Linked DNA regions of Lonchura striata. The protein of the gene in region 1 interacts with the protein of each later gene in a pairwise test. Links are inferred from orthologs where the notes say so. Each region holds a gene or a part of one and is shown in the gene's direction. Other genes may lie near its edges.

Evidence for each region.
Region 2: the proteins of KHDRBS2 (region 1) and DOCK2 interact in binary tests that used the Homo sapiens proteins (3 or more experiments, as listed by UniProt). The two-hybrid records come from large-scale screens. The link is inferred for Lonchura striata from reciprocal best matches to the Homo sapiens genes KHDRBS2 and DOCK2.

Annotation. Positions count from the first base shown.
Region 1 is NC_134605.1:88,486,098-88,493,862, forward strand, and holds the start of KHDRBS2 (KH domain-containing, RNA-binding, signal transduction-associated protein 2), read left to right. Parts: upstream 1-4,763; 5' UTR 4,764-4,832; coding exon 4,833-4,923; intron 4,924-7,765. UniProt on the Homo sapiens protein: RNA-binding protein that plays a role in the regulation of alternative splicing and influences mRNA splice site selection and exon inclusion. Binds both poly(A) and poly(U) homopolymers. Phosphorylation by PTK6 inhibits its RNA-binding ability.
Region 2 is NC_134617.1:14,571,332-14,578,378, forward strand, and holds the start of DOCK2 (dedicator of cytokinesis protein 2), read left to right. Parts: upstream 1-4,037; coding exon 4,038-4,269; intron 4,270-7,047. UniProt on the Homo sapiens protein: Involved in cytoskeletal rearrangements required for lymphocyte migration in response of chemokines. Activates RAC1 and RAC2, but not CDC42, by functioning as a guanine nucleotide exchange factor (GEF), which exchanges bound GDP for free GTP.

The DNA of each region.
Region 1 (7,765 bases):
TATGAAACTATTTAATGTCTTGAAAGGAAATAAGTAAGTAATGATATATTTTTTTAAGGGAAGCTGATTTATTTGATTTTTATAGACTAATAACTAATCTGTAAAGAATGTGTCAATTTAAGAAGCTGTACGAGTGAAGAGACCAAAACCCTGTGGAAATCAGTGACTTACCGCAGATATCAACTATGTCTGTGTTGGACCATATATGGCTGAGTCTTCTGCTGTGCCTGGGATAGTCTGAAAATGATCTGCTGATGCACATTTGCCTTCTGGATTATCCAGCAAGCTGTTGGCCGTGTGGTAGTCTACAAGGCTGGCCTCTACAAGGAGAAGGTGTAGCCACTTCCACCTGGACCCACCATTGCCCAAAGCCAGTGCATCAGCACTCAGTACATCATCTGAGTGCTGTTACAAGGAAACAACTTTTGTGCATGTTCAGTTGTCCCATGATCAAACCATGAAATCACCAGGTACAAGAACTGGTATCCATAAGACAGCATGAAGAGATCAGATGGAGCCTGGGTATAGACTGTATTCAAAGAAGGAATTAAATAAACTATAGTAAAGAATGTGGGGGCAATTCCTTCTTTTTTTGCACATGCACTGCTGCCTCTTTGTTAGATATATTGTCTATTATAATTCTACTTTCAGAGACGGAGATGGTTACTTAGATTATAGAAGAAAGTCCCTATTTTTTTTCTTTTTTAATGCTCATCAGCATTTGGTTCAGGAACCAGATAACCCTTACTCATAGCTAAAGCAAATGAACCAGTAAAGAAATTTCAAAGCAAATTGAATTTCTGAAATACAAAACTCTTGACTATTCTGATTTTTTTGATGTATGTGGTCCTCTGTCTACTCCCACACACATAGTTAACTATTCATTTAAATTATTGTATCAACTTTATTGCGAGGTGTCAGAAGGGCAGCTCATTCTAATTGAGCTCACACTGACCATTCATTCTACTGCAAATTCTTAAAAGATTTAATAATTTTTGAATAAGCAAATGCAAGGTTTGGGGTTTTTCTTCAATTGCTTGGATCCACTGCCTTTTGACTTCAGTTCTACATGATAATACAATGTATTTGGATGGCACTGGCAAGAATACATACTGATTTTTACCTGTTCTGTCTTTGAATAAACTGCAATCTGTTATGCTGCGATCCATTTCATTATCAGACTTAGCATTAAAAAATATAGTACAGATAAACTTCAATTTGTCTTGACACTTCAAACTAAAGAGTTGTAAAATGTGTCTTTGGTTTTTAGTAGCGCTGTGAAAAAAATTGATCTCCAACTAGCAATGAAGTCATGTTTGATGTCATTAGAAGTCTATATTTCCTGTCTGACAGATTTTAATGCCTTTTTTTATTTTTAATGAGGTATAAGGTGAAATTCAGAAAGGTATCTCAGTGGCTTTGCAGCCTAAGTATCACTGAAAGTCAATTTAACTTTATAAGTTTTCACAAATGAACTTACACAGAACTTGTTTCTGTCTAGTTTGCTGTAAAAATATGTGTAATGAAACCTGCTGTCTACCTCTTTGACCAGAAAAAAAAGAGTTTAATGAATTTAGCACTTCCTATTGTTTAAAAAATTTAAAGGTGTGTAAGTCAAAGCTTCCTGTGATCTAAGTAGGTTAAGTACAATTAAACAGACTAAAGTAGCATTATTCCTATAACACCCCAGATGGAAAACACCCAAAATTCATTTTCCGTATACATGCCCATATGGTATGTCTTGAAAGCTACCAGACCAGGATTACTTCTGGGGGGATGGCTTACATTCAACTTGAAGTTGCTTTAGGAGAACACACCTATCATTGGCCTGCTGTCTTTCTGAACTGTGGAGCACCTGCCTGAATTGTTCTGGAAAACAGAAGTGCAGAAATACAATCTGATGACACAGGCAAGCTTTTGAGCAAGACAGACCTGAGCTGTGTTGCAAACACCACTATTTCTTCCTACGCTGTTAAATGGGAAAGGAGAACTATTCATGCAGTAAATTGAATCAGGGTAAATTATTAATAAACTATCTGAGTTCTGCGCTTTTCTTTGTTTTATTTGTTTGTTTTTTAAAGAAGGACTTATGTCTTCCCTTTATCCCCACACAAAATTTGTAGTAAAAGCTGATTGACTATTAAACCTTTCAATTCTGCTATCAGTCTTCTCTGCTTCCTCAGTGTTTTATAAGTTTGCTGAAACCAACTATTTTCCTGCTCCTATTCTTTCTCAGCAAGGAGATTTGTTCTCAGGTATTTTATTCCTCCCTTCTAGAAATACTACAGAATAATAAGGCATCGGTCACCGACATTCTCTACATATTTTTGTAAACACGTGCTGTCCCTCAATTATTTGCATGCCGAGTGGAAATTGCGTAAACGTTGCCTGCACATATCTTAGAATTTTGAAAACATCGCACATCAAATCTTTATATAATGTCTGTACAACACATTCAAAACCTTGTGGATGCCATTATAAAGATTTTACTTTGATTTTTATCTTTTTCATTCCTTCTTCCTCTGCCAACTCCCCCCAACCAAAACAAAACCACAAAGAAAAAGACCCCAAAATCTAAATTCCTCTACAGCAACAAAAATACTTGAACAGTACTAGGCCATTCACAAATGTATTATTGCAACAACTGTCTATTTCATTAGAATAAATACTAAGATAGTAGTATTAGTGGTACATACTAAGAATGTGACATAGGGGTTGAGCACAAAATGTTGTATGGTGCCATAGACTGCTTGTTCTTGAGGTCCCACAAATGGAATTTTAATGAGTTGAGATGACTTAGACATATTTGTTTACTTTCGAAATCAAAACACATTCCTGTATGGTCTGTTGGGGCAAAATCCTGAATAAATATAACCTAAAGTAAATGTATACTTAAAGCTAAACCCTAATTAAAATAAATTTTATTTACCCAAGCTGTAGACACTTTAATTGCATAATAGTTCTAATTCTGTCAGGCGTGGCCGTGGGAGCTGCAGCACGGCATTCCTCGACAGAGATCGCCCTTTCCACAGGACCCCCGGGCCCCGGCTGCGCCTCTCCAGCTGCGCACAGCAGGCACGGGCAGACATTTTCGGCGCGGTCTGTGAGCGGCGGCGCCCGGCCGCTGATGCTCATCATACCCTCAGGGGAGAAGCTGCCTGGCAGCTCCAGCACGGCCACGCCGCCGATGCGGCACCGCTTTAGCGAGGCGTGTCCCCGGACCGCGGAGGGCCGAGAAGCCCGGGGAGCGCGGCGGAGCTCGGGGGAGGCACCGCCGGGGAGGGAAGGGAGAGAGAGCCGGGCAGAGCCGCTGCCTCCCGGCTCCAGCACCGCGGACAGCGCCCGGCGGGCGGGCGGGCGGCTCACGGCGGGCACGGAGCCGCGGCCCCGCGCAGGGACACGGCCACTGCCAGCACATCACCGGCGTGCACGGGCAGGGCGGCCCACGCAGCGACACCGGCGGCACAGGCACGCTGAGACACGCGTGGACAAACGAGCACAGGGGCACAGACACCACCGCCAGGCTCACAGAAAGCACCGCAGCACGGCCTCTCCCGCGCAGCCCGCTCTCTCTCACACACAGTCTCACACAGGCGCGCACAGTTTCACACACACACACACACACGCAATTTCACGCACGCACACACGGTTTCATACACGCGCGCACAGCTTCACACAAGTGCACGCCCACACACACACACAGTTTCACGCACACACGGAGTTTCACACAAACACACACAGTTTCACACACAAACACGGACACGTGCCCGCTCTCCCACAGGCGCAGCACCGGCACAGCCGCACACGGTCACGCGTGCGCGCACCGGCACCACGGACGCCACTCACGGACACGCACTCGCGCTGGCACGCAGAAACTGGCACACACAGCTGCACGCAGACAGACACACAGACAGACACAGCACACACACAGTGACAGACGCACAGACTGTCCTGGTTCCTGCCTGGACAGAGTTAATTTTGGCCGTAGCCGGGAGGGGACATGGCCAGGACCCAGAGGCTGTTCCGCTATCACCTCAGGTCATTGCCGGTGCTGGACTTAGGGGGGAAAGAAGTCTCTTCCTTAAAAAAGGGGTTCCTTCTGGTTCAGTAAGCGCGGGGTGGGTGCGGCGAGGTAACCTCGATTCTAATCATTTTGCATGAGAATCACTTATCTCTCTCGAACACTTTTGTTTTTAATATAATTGCTGTTACTGCTCATTTTCTTATCTCATTGCTGTTTCCAGTAAATTGTTCTTATTCCAACCCGTGATCTTTACCTTCAATTCCTCCAATCCTCCTCTCTAGCCTGCCACGGGGAATGGGGAAAGGGTGGGGAGAGCGAGCTGCAGCGTGGTTTTAGTGGAAGCGGTAAATTAGGTAATACCAGTCCTAAACCACAACACAGACACAGACACACGCAGGCGCACACACCTCCGCGGACGCCCGCCGGCCGCGGGCCCCGCCTGGCGACAGCCAATGGCACGGCGAGTCTGCCCCCGGCGCGGCGGAGCCGCCAATGGGAGCGGCGGGGGCGGGGCCCGGCTGGCTCCGCCTCCCTACTTAAGGCCGCGGGTGGCCGCGGGTCGCTCAGTGGCGGGAGGAGGAGGCGGGGGGGCGAAGGCGCGCGAGCAGCGGCGCGCGGCGACCCGCGCACGTGCCCGCCCCCGCGCGGCGCGAGGGGAAGGCGGAGGCGGGGCCGGGGCAGCGCCCGCCGCGCGAGGGGCGGCGGCACCCGCGGGGCGGCCCCGGCGCGGCCAGCGGCGAGCGGGCGGCCGAGGGCGCGGAGCGGCGAGCCCGGCATCCCGCGCAGCCCGCCCGGCGTGCCCGCGGCGATGGAGCAGGACAAGTACCTGCCCGAGCTGATGGCCGAGAAGGACAGCCTGGATCCCTGCTTTGTTCACGCGATGCGCCTCCTGGAAGACGGTGAGGCTCCGCGCCGCGCTCCCCCGGCCGGGGCGCTCCTCGGGGTGGGCTTGGCGGCCCCGGCCGACTGACAGGGAGCGAACTCGGGTGTCCGGGCCGGTGGGCGGCGGAGCGGCCCGCGGCGGGACCCGGTCGCGCGTGGGGTCGGGGCGGCGGCGGTTCGGGGCTCGGGCGCCCGGGGCCGCCCCGGAGCCTTGCCGAGGGACCCGTCCGGCAGCAGCCGCCGGCGGCCGCAGCGAGCGCCCCGCTGCCCGCCGCCCGCGCTCGCTCCCCGCCGCCCGCGCTCGCTCCCCGCCGTGCGCCGGCGCTGCCGCGGCTGGGTCGCCTGTGCGGGAGGCGCTCCCCTGGTTCCCGGGCTCACTTACACAAAGACAGATGCTGGCGTCTCATTGCATTCGTTATATCCTGTTTTCCACGCTGAAGTAATAAGGTTTATATGGTGATACTATCATGCCGTTAATGCGGCGCTGTTTTTAGTCGACTGCGCGATGTCAGACATTGATTTGATATGGCTTATCAATTTCATGACAGTTTCATCCAGGACATGATGATTTCCTCTTGGTTTTGTGCGGAGATCAGAATACACTGGTTATAACATTTGGATACTCATTGTAGCTCGCCCTCCTTTCCTTGCTTTAGTTGGAGTAGAGTTTTAGTTGGACCTCGCCTAAAGGTTCTTTAAAAAGTTTATCATTTAGTCTCTCTTGTAATAATTGCTCAGTATAGCGGTTGCGTGAAGACCTCGTGGTATGGAATTTTAACTTTTGCCAAAAGTGTAATCCTTTAAGTTCCTCTTATACATGTTTTTCTTCTTAGATATTTAATAGTCTTTATAAAATCCCTGTTAAACTTGGAACCTAATGTTGAAAAGAAGTAGTAAAGAATGATGCATAAATCAAGACAACCTATTAAGTTTTTAAAAGAGATTAAAGCAAAGAAATATATGGTCAGGCCCCTGAGAGTCACACATTCAAATAAACTCAGAGGTGGCAAATAATTTCCCAAGTTCTGTTTATGACCTAAAGAAAATCATAACTAATTCAGATTTACCATGCTAAGCAGTAAGTGTTTTTCCTCTGTCAGCAGTTTTTATATTGTCTTTCCTTAATGTATGTTTTATTGATTGTGAATGAAGATACTGAGTCCAGGTTTTGTTGGAGTGCTTCTGTTTGATAGCTTTAAAATTCATACTGAATTTCAGTATGAATACAGACCCATTTAGTACCGTTTTGTCATAGCTGTCTTGCTGCTAAAGAGGCAGCCATGCTACTTTTTATAGTTGTTTTTCTTATAATCATACCATAAACTAAGTCCTTATTTCTTAGAGGAATGTATTTTTTGAACCTTGCAGTTCGGTCTTTTCCCAGAGGGGGGAAGTATCCTCTGAGAGTGTGTGTGTGAGTGTCTGGGAAAGGAGGAAAATGCAGGAAGGACAAAACCGAAAGTAGGCAAATAAAAGTAAAAGGAAAATTGTTTTTTCTAGGTATCAAGTTCATGTAGAAGTTGCATTTTGAGCAACTGTGAGATTGAATAAATGAACGATTTTCTCATTCCTTCTTGGCCTAAGTAGGACTATGCATTATTTCACTGGATTTTTTAAAAGATGAAGGTGAGTTGTCTGAGAGAATGCTAATGTCAGATTCACACCAGGTACCTGGCATTATCCTTCAAAACACCATCTGTCAAGCTTTCTAGACATTTGTTTTAGAGTCGAACATATGACGACTGTTAAAACACTTAACCATAGTAAGAATGTTACTACTTAAGAAAATTAAAATTAATGCACTGGTTGCTGCTGGGCATAAATAGAAAGGGCAGAATTTTCTTTTTTGAGTGCCAGAAGAAAATGGGATCCTGGTGCAAGGATCTCTGTAGTAGTGAGTAATTTCTAGGTTATATTAACGATGAAATATTTTTTCCAGACTCTGGATTTCTGTTCTTTAGAATGTAACGTGCAATCAGCTACATCCCTAACGATACCAGCCAGGTGTTCTTTTTATGGTGTCCTAAGCATTTTTGATTGCCAGCACACTTTGTATCAAATACATAAGTGTAGATTTGCTTTGGAGCTCAGAGCCTCAAGCATTCAGTCTGACTTGAAAGTGCTGTGTTGTTTCATATTGGCTGCTAAAACCCAAGGTTGAGAACAGTTGTGTTCCTGTGAGAAACCGCAGAAGGGCACACAAGCAATAAGTATTCCAGAAAAATGCTTCTCATTTGCAAGAGTGGATTTACTTGTAAAGATAAGACTACCCATTTTCCCCCAATAATTTCTTTTGTTTGTTTGAATCTGTTGCGTGGTCTTTCTTTGTTTGTGTGTTTTGGTGTACTTAACCAATATTTACACCAACATATTTCTTATGTTTTCAATATGTGGGTCTGTGTCCTTCAGGTTGACCTGTTTCAGATGCATACTTCAATCAGTAGCTATTTATCCCTCACCATTAAGTGATGACTAGAAATCACTTATTTTAGTCCTTGCCTGGGTCTGGTATAATCCCCAGAAAAGGGACATTTCCTTTGGCAGACTATTTACATACATGCCAAACAACAGAAAGAAAGGTAAGGTCCTAATGAAGGTAGAAGGTACTAGTGCTATTTAAATACAAAGTGTGGAGACAAAACCTGATTTCTTTAAAAATCCCTGAGGGAATCTGTTGTGGATTCTAACACTGAATGGCCAATTGAGTGCCTTAATCAGAAGATACTTATTTCCCATGGGTCATAGCCCGTTTCATGTAGAAGTAGATCCTACATGACTGTTGCACTATTGGAAATGGAAAAGTCATTGGTAAGTCATCTACTAGGAGGACTTGTGAGTGGCTAATGATATTTGCCTCAC
Region 2 (7,047 bases), on another chromosome or scaffold:
ACATGGTAAGACAGACTAGACAGGGTTGATGGAGAACTCAAGTGAGTGATGTGCTCCTAAATTTCTTCCAGTTTACAGATTCAGAATTCTTAATATATTTCCTCCTAAAGTGTTAATTTTCAACTTTCAGGCTGGCATGTTTGCAAAGGTGCATGTGAATCACTTCATGTGTTTTGTTGGTCAGTGTTTGAAATTGTTTGGATTCTTGTATTTGTACTATTAATTAAAATAAAGGTTTATTTCTTTCTTTAGAAAATGTAGTCTGTATTGTATTTGAAAAGACACATGTATCAATTTTTTAAATGAAGGTGATGTCTTTTGTAGAACTTTTTGTTTAAAAAAATACCTCTCAATAAATGATAAGAAAGTGTAATGCATGCGCTGTGTGTCCTGTTTTTAGGAGACAATTCTGTAACTTCCTGCAGAAAAATTCTGACGAGACCTTTTAAGCTAGGTATTTGTATGGAAGTTGGAGTACTCCATTTGAGTCATGATAGTACAGTTTGAGCTCCCTCTGGTGAATGGATTAGCCAGTTTCTAAATAAAAGACTCAGTAATTAAGGTGGAAGTTCTTTAAGACTTCTTTTAAAATCCATCATGGAAAAGAATACATTGGGGAGCAATCTTGCAACCCCCTGGTTTGTTTACAGTTCTGCCAGGTCTGAAGTGGTGCCTGGGATTTTGTTAACTCTGGTGACTTTAGCTCACCAGTCACTTACCTCAAAAAAAACTGAATTCTGATCACAGCAGAAGTGACTAAAAAGGTGGGAATGTCACCATAAATGAGCACATCTCCCTTTCCAGGGAGCTTCATCTCATTATCAGAGCATTTCTGCACAGTTCTGCTTAGGCACAGCCCAGTGGCTGCTACTTCTGTTGGACAAAATAATCAGAAATTTGTGTGTCACAGAATCATATTTTGTCACTTCACTGCTGTAAGAAATTTGCTATGTAGCTGAGTTTAACTTTTACTAAGGTATTATTACTGACAGCAAGTGTATAGCCATGAAATAGTTCTTGCTCTTCTTGACTTTGACATGTGAACTTAAATTATGTTATGCTGAAGAAATCCTGTTTTTCATGCTACAAAATGTTAGAAACAAATCCTTTATTATGAAAATGGTGAAAGTTACATTTGTTTACTGTCACTACTGTGAGACAACCTAGAACAACTGAGGTACATGATTGCTCTACTTAGAGGAAAACCTTTGGTAAGCTGACATTGGATAATGTGTTTAAATGGCAGTACTGAGCTGTAGATTGTCTATTAAGACAATTAATTGTGTGTTGATTTCTGTTATAGTTAACATTATGTTGAGCTACTGGGCATGTGGCATTTCTAAAGTTATTTCTAGGTTGAAACAACTAGTTAATTTATGTGACAAACAGAACTGGGATGCCATTTCAACAAACAAATGAAGCTGACTAGGATTATCTAATTACCCCCAGGAGCTGCTTTACAGTCTCTGCTGCTGGAGTCCACTTGGAGTGTGCAGCCTTGACCATTTTATGTAGTGGGTTTGTGTTTACACATCCTTCTGCAGGAGTGCAGGTGGGGGAATGTGTCTGGGCTCCAGGCTTTGGGTGTGCTGGAACACACTTGAGGTACCGTGCATGAGAGTTCTTGCTGTATTTTCTTATTTGGTTCTGGTGTGTCTCATCAGTTGCTTTTCTGCAACTGTGCTCACAGATCTTGGCATAAAATAGAGTTAAATGGAACTTCTGTGTTCTGCTCAAATTCTTTATAAAGGAAATTAGTTTAGCTAAAAAATGGGTAGTTAGCTACTCATCATCTTACAAGGTCTTGTTTTCTGGAACTGATAACAGTATTGAAGGAAGCAAGAACTGTCTCTCTTCTGCTTGTCCCCAGCCCACAAAAGGTAAGTTTTTCTTGTGAGCTTCCTCTACAGAGTTTCATCTTTCAGGGAAACGAGGAATTTTCTATTTTCCTTAAAAAAACCTTCTGTCCTGAAAAAGATTGAAGGAAGAAATGGTGAGCTATGTGAGGGTGATGACTCTGCCTGCTGTTTTCTGTGGAATATCAATATGTGGACGTAACAGCACAAATAAACCAAGTTGGAATAAAAACGTCCATGGACAAAGGGTGTAACTATTGCCCACCTTAATTCCTTAGACCTGTGCTGGGGTTTGTTCTCTGCTGTAAGAACAGGATTTTAGGGTTACTGTTTGTGCTTTGCTCTGGCACTTCCCTCTCTCAGCTAAGGAAGGATTTGGTTCCCCAATCCATTCATTAGGAGTTAGAGGCAGGAATTTTTCAGAGCCAGCCAGACAAGGTGGGAGCTGAGTGAGATGAGGTGGCGGAGGGGCTGCAAAAGCAGCATCATGGAAATCTGCCAGGAGGAAGCTCCAGCAGCTGTGCAGGGCTGAGAGCTGGAGAGGGGAAGGGGATGGCAGCGGGAGGCAGCAATTCCTGTGGGAGTTTTGGCCCTTGAGTTGGCTTTTGGGCAAGTCCAGAGGGTACAAGAGGGGATGTGAGCTCTGTCCCTTTGTTGTGCTGTGCTCTGCAGAACTACGTCAGGCCATCAGAGAAGTGGATACCAGTTTGTAGGTGAAATTTCTTTATTTTAGATCATTTACTTTCGGAAGAAAATAGTATTAACTAGGTGTATTAGACATCCATGGAGAAGCAGGTTTGTAAATGAGTCCTAGAAAGAAGCAGTTTTTTCTTCTGGGCTGTTGCTTTACAGGGGAGCACAATAAGGAAGAGCAAGGTAGAACGAGAAAATAAAAACAAGGCAACCTTTAGGCCAAGTAGTGAATGGGAAGAGGGGATTTGCTGCAACAGGGACTGGGAAGAGTGAGGAAGAAATTACCACTGGTTAGGAAGTTACTGCTCAAAACCCAGAGTAAATTGAAAGATGAAATAGTTTGGCCTCAAAATCTTTCCAGGGACAGAAAAGATAAAGATCTTTTACATTAAGCTTGTTTTCTGTAAATGGAAATAATGAGAGCTGCTAGGAATTTAGCCCACTTTAGTAAAGATAACATGACTTTCAATGTTATTTTAGGGGAGAGAAAAGAGCTATATTGTTGTCTAAGCTAGTATGGTTAAGATTAGACCAATTCAAGCAAATCTGTGGCGAAGGTTAAAGTGATTTTCCTGCAAAAATATATATCAGAAGTCCACATGCAAGGAGAGAGGCTGGCAGTCTGTGCTCCACATGATTGCTAACAAAAATCAAGAAATAAAATGTCATGTGTTATCAAAACCAGAGGAGATGGTTATCAAAAATCAGGAGATGGATGTAGCACGGCAGTGTTAAACAGTTTGGATAAACAATGATTGCTAAGCTGCAGTGGAATATCCAGAGGACAAGACTGTCAGCTGCATCTGTTGTACTAAGCAGAAGATCAAACAAGCAGTAAATCTTGCAAGGATTTAATTTGAGGGTTTTTAACTCTAAATTATGAGTAAAGCACCGACTTTGTGCTTTAAGGTGACATACTGCCTTCAATTCGGTATATTGTCCTTAATCCATGTTCCAAAAGACTTGGCTTGGTCCTATGCACATCCAAAATGTCCTCACCCAGGCTGGCTCCCCAGCAGCTGTGTGCAAGCACAGGCTGGAAATATGCTAAAAATTACTTCTGGCAGTTTTGTACTGACAATAAGTCTTTAAGAAAGTACTGCTTTGTTTAGAGAAGAGTCTCCTGCTTCTTCCTCCAAACATAAAATGATAGACATTTAAAAGAATGGGTGTGTTTTGAAATGTGGCTTTGTCTTCACGCCATTTCTTTTTGGAGAGGTGACATCAAAAGCACAAATCTGAGTTTGAGGGCAGGTTAGAAGAGCAGAGTTTTTAAGATGTAGCATCCTCTGAAGTCCAACCTTTCCAGCCTGGTGCTGGTTTGGTTTCCTGCACTGACCTAAGCCATGGTCAGAGATGGTCACTGAGCCAACCTGAAGTCCAGGGGTGGTGCCACACGGTCCTGGCGTGGTTTTGGTCCTTTTGTGCTTCTGTGTTCACAGCCGACACGGTGCAAAAGAAACACCCAGGCTGGGTTTCCCCTCCCCCATGACACAGGCACGGTATGTGGAGCTGAGAAAAGAGGAAGGAAGCTCGGAGAGGCAGCAGATCTCACAGAGCCTGCTCGTCCCGGGGCTGGGGAGCCACGGCGCTTCCGGGGCCTGCCTTGGTCACCCCCAGCTCTGCACCCCAGCACCTGGGCTCCTCGGGGGGCATCCCTGCGAGCCGCTCCCTTCACGTGCCATGGCAAGATGGCACAAGACGGAGAAGAGTGGCGTGGGTAAGTAGCTCAGGGAGCTGCCATTTGAGCATTGTCTTTCTGTCTTCTGAGCAGGATGTGGGCAGGTGTTGTCTCTGCTGTGATGGGTTAACACCATCCACTCCGCCAGCGGGGAGTACCTGAAAAGATCAAATTTGTACAAAGTTTGGATCTTCCAAACAGAACAGCATGAAGTATAGCTTTCCCACTTTGATAGCAATGCAGCTTCTCCCACTTGGTGTGGTAGAAGCAGACTGAATAAATAATGTGTTGTATAATGTGCAGTGGCCAGAAGTTATGGGGAACAAATGTAGGGGAAGGGGAATCCTAGAGTTGCTTCTGCAAGATTGTCACTTATGGTCAGTGCTACAGAAAAAATCTGTGTCTGAGTTGGTAAGTCGTACTTTTGGGAAGGAAAGTAATCTTTAAATAAATAATGTTAACTTGCACAAAGGACAGAATTGCCGTTTTAAAAGAGCCTTTAACAAGTAGGAATCAAAGCTAAAGCACTTGAAAGATGTGTGGTACTACTTAGTTATTTACCTTCTAAATACTTCTAAAAGATTTTTTTTTATTTTAAGTAGGCCATAGTTTTTTGTGATATGCATTAAAAATCCAACTGGCTTCATGAAATAAAATGTAAGGCCAAGAAATTAACAAGAGGAGAATAACGTGTTATTCAAGATCCATGTCCAGCAGTAGCAGAACTGCAAAATGGAAGTAGCCTGTTCTGGTGGCAGTTTACATTAGAAAAAAAAAGTGTCAATATTTTCTGTTTCAATTTTACAAATAGTAGAAAGCACATAAGTTTTGCACTTGTAGTAGTCTCTATGGTATTTGAAAGGCACAACAAACATCACACAGTAAAAAAACCACCTTATAAAATGCAATCTTTCAAAAACTAATGGCTCAGCGATGTCTGTTTTAATGTCCAGAACAGTACAATTTACTCTAGAGTGGGTCCCTGGGAAGAGCTGACACTACAAACCTGCTGCTATTTCCTTTCCCCTCTGCTTGCTCCCTCTGTGAGCAGTTTGATGTGAGACAATCTGGGCACGTGGGGTCCTGCAGTGTGCTGAGAGTGCTCCTGCTTGCTGGCCCCAAGTCCGTGTCCTGGGTTAAAGGAAGGTTTGCCATTAAACACCCCACAAGGCTCCTTATATTTGCATGTAAACATCACAGTTGTAGTGGAGTCTGTGGTTTAGTGTGTCACAAAGCAAAATAAACGGCAATCAAATGGACTTCCAAACAATATTAGAATAGTAATGTAAGTGGGCATACATGTGGCTTTTGGTAGGTTTTTTTCAGTAAGAGAATTCTCTGGTTTTGCACAATTGCTAGAATTTAATGCATAACTACAGATTCAACAACATACAGATTTAGCTTATACCCAGAAGTTCCTTTTCTTAGCCAAACTCTTGGCTCACAGTTCATTTTGCTCTATCTTGGAAATGAAATGTATTTCATTATATATGTTATTGAGAAAAAAATGGGAGACTCTTGCACCCAGAATAATTAAACCAATCAAACATGCATGTACCACTATCACTGGCTCTCCTGCCCCAGAAGTTAAATAAATTTATATTCTTAGAAATTGTCAGGAAAATGGTGTAGTTGCCAAATTTCAAGTAAACGAAACTCATGGAATAGTGAGGCCTGATCAAGGGCTATTGACAACTATGGTCACAAATGAATAGGTTTTTGAATTTACAGTCTTGTAAACATGCCTCCTGTGTCTGAGGGAAATAAGAAAAATGGGCAGACTGAGTCTTCTGAGTCATAAATTCTGTGAAAGTTGATGAGCTTTTGGAATAATACACAGCGGAAGCTGTTTGAACATATAGGGCTATTTTGTCTTCTGTGTTTTTGAAAATCTTTGGGTTTGAGTCTCCCATTGAATTTTCAAGTCTCTTATTAGGAGCATGCCCGATGCCTTCAGTTTCTGCTGATGAACAGAGTTTCAGTTTGAGAATACTGGGCCCATCATGCTTTGGATGAGCAGAGTACACTGCAGGGTGGATCTGGAAGATCACACCATCTCTTGGTTATGGTGAATTGCAGTCTGTTGTGCCTACTTTTGTGTTTTATTTAACTAACAATGGACTAGTCCAGGTAGCAGGTACTCAGCTTTTTCCTAGGAAAATACAGTCCTGATTTTACACATGAATATTGTTTTTAGTCTTGCAGCATTCCCAGCATGAATTTGTGTTATTCCTGTGGACAGAACAGGATAGAATAGTCATGGCAGGCTGGTGCCTTTGGGTGGCAGTTTCCTGATGGAAAGTCTTTGCCATCTGCTCAGACTTTGAGCAAAGTTACAAACTGGTGAAATGATGGCATTCTTAACCCAAATTTACATTGGCATTCTAAACTCAAGAATCAGATTTACTTCTTTTCTACTGGATCAGAAAATATATGTTTGTCCTTTTTAAGCAAAATTATGGGGAGGAGTGGATGACTTCTTTGAAGGTATAGAAAAGCACACGCTCAGCCTGAGTACACAGAGCTGAGACTGGCTTGTCTGATTTTATCTGCTGAAATCCTTGGAAATTATTCTACATCTCTGAAATCTGAATAGATTGAGGTTTAAGGGAGCAGAGCTTTGTTCAGGGCAGGTTTCCTCCATGAAGTGCACCCTCTGAACCCAAAAAAACAGTTCCAGCTCCTTGGGAAGCATAAAAAAAATGGGGAAATAATATTTTTATCCATGGTCCTTCATGAAAAGGAGAAAATCAAACTAAATACCCTATTCTTCATGAAGAGGTCTAAGAAAAATGGCTGTGCTACAATTTTATCTGA